2 linked regions of the Macaca fascicularis genome follow. The protein of the gene in region 2 interacts with the protein of the main gene of each other region in a pairwise test. Links are inferred from orthologs where the notes say so. Each region holds a gene or a part of one and is shown on either strand. Other genes may lie near its edges.

Region 1 (3,654 bases), about 5.1 Mb from region 2:
ATATGATGGGACAGCCTCTGGCACAGGGACTTTCAATTTTTGTTTCCACTGATCCAATTTAGATTGCTCAAAAAAAAAAAAAAAAAAAAAAAGCATAGAAGGCTTTTAAGAACACAAGCTTTTGTTAAGAGCTGTAACAAAAGTTTCTGATCCTTGGATTTAAAAAGAAAAATTACAGGTAAGCATGTCAATGAATTCAGTTCCATCTGTACTACTGAAAATTCACTAAAATGTAAAAGGCTTTTCCACAAAGACTGCAATATGCTGCAGAGGAAAAGTAACATGCAGTCAGTTATTTTGGTGTATGTGTGCATGAAAAAAAGGCAAAAGTACTGAAGCAAGAAGTGTGATCTGAAGATGACTTGCTATACAGGCTCTCAAGAAACACACACAGCCCACAGCAATGCTATAAGAGTTTCAAAAATAGTATGATGTAATTGCAATGACTGTTGTACATGCTCCATTTAAAACAATGCATAACACTGCAGTTCAATTACCTGTTTTTCACACACACGCTTTCTAACTGCCTTGCTTACTAGCTGCTGAAGGGTCTCACACACAATGCATTTTACTCAGGTTTGCCCTAAGTTCCAGTGGTGACTCCAGTTTGGTTCAACATAATCCCAAGGCATTGTCCCCCACCCAAATTATTTTCAATTTGTTTCAACTCTCCTTTACCTTCCCACCCTTTTCTAACCACAATTTGATAACAGACGTAAGTTTGTTTCATTCATATTGGGATGGAGACAAGCCAATGAAGGAAGCAGCAACCAAAAGGTGCCTGAATTTGACCTCCTTGGACAAGCCAACTGATAAATAGGAGAGCAAATTTTAGGTAGCTTCAGTGGTATGCCTTATTACAGAAAGTAGAAGTTAATACTTTGTTAAAAGTAATTCATGTTGCTTAGCAACAATTATAGCAAGCTTGGCTCTCGTGATTAAAAAGGTTTTGATTCCTCTTAAAAATGGACTAGCACCATAAGAACTGGACACCTGGAGAAACATGAGGAAAGTCTCTTCGGAAGCAGCTAGTATCTCTTGTATCTACTTTCAGCAAAAAATTAGTAAGAATCAAGAGATCAGAAACTGGATCACAGTCCTTCAATACCAAAAAAAAAAAAACCCCAAAAAGCCTTTTAGGGCATGTATATACATATATAAATTCAACAACTGTCAGGCAAGCTCACAAAGTAAAACCAGAGGCTGTTTTAATTTACTTCAAGTATTATGATAGTCCTATTAGGGTCCAGATACCCTGACAGGGAAGAGAAATTTCCTGTTACTTTGGAATTAATATGGAAACTCACCATACTCAGTTTTTCATAATATATTTAAGAGAGACTGTGAACCAACTACTGATTAGCCTCCTGCCCTTCCTAAAGCCTATTAGCCGATTAGTAGCAAACGTCTACTAATGTCCTACAGTTCTATTAAAGTTATGTTTCAAGGGACTTGCAGAGGCTTTAGTGAAAATTTATTGGGGGGAAAAAGCAGCAGCAGCAGTGTAGAAAAGGAAGGAAAAAAATCATGCAAATTCCTTAGACTTAGTTCTCCAGACTTAAAGATGGAAAAGAATCAACTTTCACCTTTTCCTTTATTGCATCAACCTGCAAAGGAATTCAGAAGGTGCAGCTTAGAAAAAAAATCAAATTCCATATTGAGCATAAAAAGGTAGAATCAGCAACAAAGGTTTAGGGAAGAAACATCTAACCACTAAAAAGGTATGAGAGAAGTGAAAATAAAGGGCATACTGGAAGCAAAATTTAGATTTTTCTGTAACTTCAAAGCTTACTGCAGAAGAATTTATGCTACAGTATGAAAGAAAGCAGCTTAATCACTAGTAAAATTTACAGCACTTAGGTTAACAGCAGCTTAGAGACAGGTCTCACAAGTTGGCATTATGTTTAAGAAGCTATTCTCATCTATGGCTAAAACATGTTGGCTAAGACAAGGCAACATGTTTTTTCTTACATTGAATACAGAAAATGTTAATTCTTTAAAAACTTGAAACAGACACAATGGTATCTAATTAAATGATATCCTGAGGAAAAATTCAGTGTAGTAGGGGTTGTTGGTAGTGCTCCCACTCCCCCTACCCCCGCCTTAACTCAGGCAGGCTGAAGGAATCAGTTGGGAGAGTCTGATTTTAATCATGTTTTTTGCTTTGACAAAAAGGATCCTCTAAAACCATTTAAAAATGTTCTAGAGAGAGAAAGCTAGTAACTGCTGAAGACAGAGTGAGTAAATTCTTATATCAAAAAGGGACACTAAGATGAATAGTGAATTTTACAAGGCAATTAGACCCCCAGCTTGTTTATGTGTTCACCTCCTATGATATTTTTAAATCAGGGGTTAAACTATCAAAAAAAATTGTGAAGATTAAAAGGATGTTAAGAATATACATGCAGCTTCCCCAGGGGAAACAGGCATAGACATCACTAAAGTCAGGAGCCAACCAAATAAAAGGGAATCTACAATACTAGTTATGATTATTTGAGTTACAAGAACTGAGTTTGAGAAAAATGCGACTTTGAAATAAAATTTATCGAATAGTTTTTAAAATAAAAAAACAAAATATAGATTATTTTCACAATCATAAATACACTGAGGGTAAACAGCTACATTTGAGTTCCCCTTCCAAACAGTGTCATTTATCAGCTATTAAAAATTTTTCAAAAGAACAGGAATATTTTATGATCGACTAAATGACTTCTACTAAATAAAAAAAATTAAAAAAATTAATGTGCATGTAGAATTTTACATATCTGCAAGAAAACTACTTCTGAATACACTTAGAAGAGTCATTACCTTTGTCAAGTATTCCTTCATGACCTGGATGAAATAGGGCATGGCAAAATCCATGATATTGTGCCTCCATGCAGTTTCTAGGACAACATCTGGCCTTAAAAGATCGTAACAGGTAAACAGACAAGCTCCAAAGCACTCTCTTTTTTCTTCCTGCAAAAACCACTGCAGGAGTTCTTCAGCCAACTCAGTATCTTTAGATTCAGAAGCATACTGCATTGCATCCTATTCAAAGAAAATAGTGAAAGTCAAAAAACATTAGACCCAACATACTAAACTAGTAAACCAAGAAAAACAATGGAACCTTTCCAATATAAATCTGGTTTTGCAAGGGGGAAAAAAGCCTCCTAGTTGTATCATTTAAATTAAAATTTTCAAAGAACAGATAAGCTAAAGGCCTTTTTTTCCCCCCAAACAAGTTTGACCTTAACATAAGAGAGCCCCTAGAATCAAGAAATCCATTAACTTAAATTGCCTTAAAGTCAGTTCTCATATTCACAAAACCAATACTTTTATTTATAGAAATCACTTGTAACATCATTTTAGGCCTGGTTTAACAGCCCCCGCCCCGCAACTTTATCAACCTTGTAAAGGCTGTCTTTCTTGCACAGCTCTACACTCTGTTTCCAGCGATTGTTGCCTTTGAAGAGATAAGCAGCAATTCTCCTGAACTCAATGAGTTCATGTTTTTCCAAACGCTGAGCAAGCGAGATATTGTCAAAGTTGTCATAAGCATCTATTGATGTTCGCAGAGCCTTAAAAAAAAAAAAGCCATCCAAATGCCAGATCAGTATTTTGTTTAACATTATATTCCGTCCTCGATCAATGAGCCCCTTAGATGGTAGGTAA
Region 2 (3,654 bases):
AGAACAAAACCACCTTACTCTTAGGCTACCAAAATCTCTCTGAAAATTATCTATATTAATACTAAGTACACGGCTAGTAAGATATGTTAATGTAAAAAGAAAAGAAAAACAAGTTGTGATGTGTGGTGATAGTGGTAATAAAAAAGATGTAACGTATCAAGATCCAATAAAAAGACCTTCCCATTTCTCCAATGAAGAGAAACAAACATATTAAACATCTGAATCAAGTGAGCTAGCAGAACCAGGAATAGAATCCAGGATCAGCTAACTTCTTGCTGTAACAGCCAGTCTACCAAATGATTTATCAACAGAAACTACATAAAGCAGTACTAAATTGAAAAAAACAAAGAAGGCCAATTAGTAGCAGGTATTTCATAGAAGATCCTCTGACACACATCTGCCTCCTTTTGTTGCTATAAAGTACTGGTTAGGCTGGGCATGGTGGCTCAGGCCTGTAATCCCAGCACTTTGGGAGGCTGAGACGGGCGGATCACGAGGTCAGGAGATCAAGACCATCCTGGCTAATATAGTGAAACCCTGTCTCTACTAAAAATACAAAAAATTAGCCAGGCGTAGTGGTGGGCGCCTCTAGTTCCAGCTACTTGGGAGGCTGAGGCAGGAGAATGGCGTGAACCCGGGAGGCGGAGCTTGCAGTGAGCCGAGATCGCACCACTGCACTCCAGCCTGGGCGACACAGCGAGACTCCGTCTCAAAAAAAAAAAAAAAAAAAAAAAAAATTATTCCCTCTGAGAAGAGAGTCTAGGTAGGGAAGGGAGGGACCAGAGACAGCTGCTTTCCATCAAAAATTATTTAACATTTAAATGGTGTGCTTTATTAGTTTGATAAATTTAAAAATTATTTTAAAGAAAAAAGTGAAGAGAACTCTCAGAATCCCCAATACATGATCCTAACTACCATCAGACACTTGCCTCCACCTTGATGGCACACCGTCCAATGGCCCGCACAGCTTTTCGAACAAAGTCAACATCTACCTCTGTGGCATATTCCTTCAGTTCTGCCAGAACCTGTTAAATGGAGGAAGTGGTTAATCATTAAGGATTCTCAAATAGCAATCTCACAGCCTAGCTTCTTTAAAGGCCAGACCTTAAGAGCTAAATCATTATCAACTTGAGTCTGCATAAAGTCTGACCTGAGCAATGTTGGCTTGAGATGCCAAACGAATCATGATGTCCAACTTCTCTAGTTTAACATAGATGGGATCATTGTACTTCACAAAGAAGACTTTGATTTCCTGCTTCAAGATTTCAGGCCTAGGGTACACAGAAACAGAAGAAAGGAAGGTGAAGGCATATACTGATACACCCTTCTGAGACTGTATTAATACCTAATCTGTGCCTCTCTGCTCTCCTCTCGCTCCACTCAGGAAAAAAAAAAAAATGCATAAACTTCCTCTATATGCCTCTATTCTTATCAGTTCCACTTGGCAGATTATTTTTATCCTTTTTAAGCATCAGGGCACACGTTGCCATGAAGTACTGCTAAAAGAACAACAATCTGGCTCTAAACTACAACGTGAACCATATCAACCAGGCACTAGACAGTGTATCAGAAAGAGACCCTTCAGAAAACAAACTGGACTGTGCAGCAACACATGGCATTTATTATAGAAATACTGTGATATCAACTGTTAGCCTCCTGGTGCTAGGCAAGCAAGTTGTTCTGCCATATAACATTTTCATTTCCATATATTAAAAAGAGATTAACACTAGCCTAATTAACATTAACATTATTAAGCTTAATGCAAAATCACAAAGACTTTAATCAACACTTCACTATTTTCCAACCTTTTCTGGACAATTAAGTTGATGTTCCTCAGGGCGACATACTGCACTTCTGGCTCCCCAGACAGCAAAGTGACAAGTGGAGGGGCTAATTTCTTCAGCAGCATATTGTAGTAGTCAGAATCCTTAGGTAACAATTCTAGAAACTTCATTAGGACTTTTACTGCTGAAAGCACCACTGCTGAGTTGGCATGGGATAGCCGGGGAGTTACCCGCTCACATATGCTGAGGGCAAAGAATGAAAATTAATATCATGAATTATAATTTCTTTGCTGAATTCATTCTATAAGGTAATATGTCAGAGTCTAATGACCCAAGTATCAAAAAATTCAAGAATTAGTTAGAAAAGTCAAAGCTCTATGCTTAGGTAAAACTGGGATCTGACAATGCAGAAGCCTCATTCTCAGCAAACTACAGGCAGAGCAGGGACATCAGAAGACTTCAGAAAACCAGCAATAAGGGATGTTCAAACTGGAAAGAAACTAGCATTACCCAAGACACTTGAGCTCACACCATTTACCTTCTTGTTTTATAGTCCTCTTTGTCTCCCCATATTATGTTAGGGCTCCCTGCCTCTCAGCCCATTTCTACTCAACCTATAGGAAGTCAAATTAAGCATTCTGAGAGTTATTTCATAGGAAGTGCCAGCAACCCAGTTATGGCTGAAGATTTCATTGTAAGATACAGAAGGAGGCAGGTTGGTAGGGAAAACAATCCAATCTCCTGTCTTGAGGATAATGAGAATAAGGGACTCTCTGAAAAGGGTTTGTTTTTTAAATAGCAGGACACCACTACTATATTTTCCCATCTCCCTGCTCTCCCAGCCCCTGCCACCTACACTTACATGACTCATAAAATGGTAGATATTTAATTATCTGTTGAGGGTTCTTTAGAAATTAATCCAATTTTGATAGCTTGGGCAACACGAGTAGCTAACTTACTGTATTAAAGAAACAAGATAAATAGGCGGTGTTTCTCTCTTCCTCCTATTCCTGACTTCCTTTGGGTCTTTATACAAATGCCACCTTCTCAGTGAGGCCTTCCCTGGCCATCTTTTAAAAATAAAATACAACCCCCCACCCCCAAATGTCCAGCATTTCTTAGATTTCTTAGATAACGGCACTCTCTACTTTACTTTCTTGTTAGTACTTATCACCATCTCACATATTACATATTAAACTATCTATACATATAATATATTATACTATCTATACATGTTATATATTCCTACCCCCAACCTTCAAATAAGTGATCCCAGAGGGCCATGACTTTGTTCACTGTTGTATCCTCAGGGCCTAGGAACACTGCCTAGCACATAGTATGCGCTTAATAAATATTTGCTGAGTGAATGAATGAATGTGATGTCAATGGCCAACAGAAGAAAACAGTAATTCTCAGTAATTTCCAGACTGTATTTGTACTTTCAATGATGGAAAGAAACTATCAGAGTGAGCTTTAGTTCAGTCTAGAGGGACTATTTCCCAGATAAGTGAAGATCACTTACATTCTAGTAGCTTGGAAATCAGCTTCAGCCAGACCAGTTCTTATCTACCATAATTAAAATATACCAACTTTAATGAAGAGTCAACATTTCTTCAGAAGTACTTTGCCTAGTACAGTGCCTGCATATACAAAATGCTCAATAAAAATTAGAGATAATTCCAACTTTGTAAACTAAAATGTATGTATGTGTAGATGAAATTTAGTAGTCAATTTCTAATAACTAAAGAAAATTTGCAACATTACATGGTAACAGGCTGAGCAGAACAATCTAGGTGTGCCTTCTAAAATCTTCAAATTCAGACTGACATGGTTTCCATATCTAATGGAAAGCAGGATATATTTTGCTGAC

The links.
Region 1: the proteins of AP2B1 (region 2) and CLTC interact in a two-hybrid assay, tested with the Homo sapiens proteins (2 studies listed by BioGRID, with this or other methods). The link is inferred for Macaca fascicularis from reciprocal best matches to the Homo sapiens genes AP2B1 and CLTC.

What each region holds. Positions count from the first base shown.
Region 1 is NC_088390.1:47,021,368-47,025,021, forward strand, and holds part of CLTC (clathrin heavy chain 1), read right to left. Parts: intron 3,561-3,654; coding exon 3,390-3,560; intron 3,031-3,389; coding exon 2,809-3,030; intron 1,608-2,808; coding exon 1,587-1,607; intron 1-1,586. UniProt on the Homo sapiens protein: Clathrin is the major protein of the polyhedral coat of coated pits and vesicles. Two different adapter protein complexes link the clathrin lattice either to the plasma membrane or to the trans-Golgi network.
Region 2 is NC_088390.1:41,928,259-41,931,912, reverse strand, and holds part of AP2B1 (AP-2 complex subunit beta), read right to left. Parts: intron 2,028-3,654; coding exon 1,806-2,027; intron 1,272-1,805; coding exon 1,151-1,271; intron 1,026-1,150; coding exon 930-1,025; intron 1-929. UniProt on the Homo sapiens protein: Component of the adaptor protein complex 2 (AP-2). Adaptor protein complexes function in protein transport via transport vesicles in different membrane traffic pathways.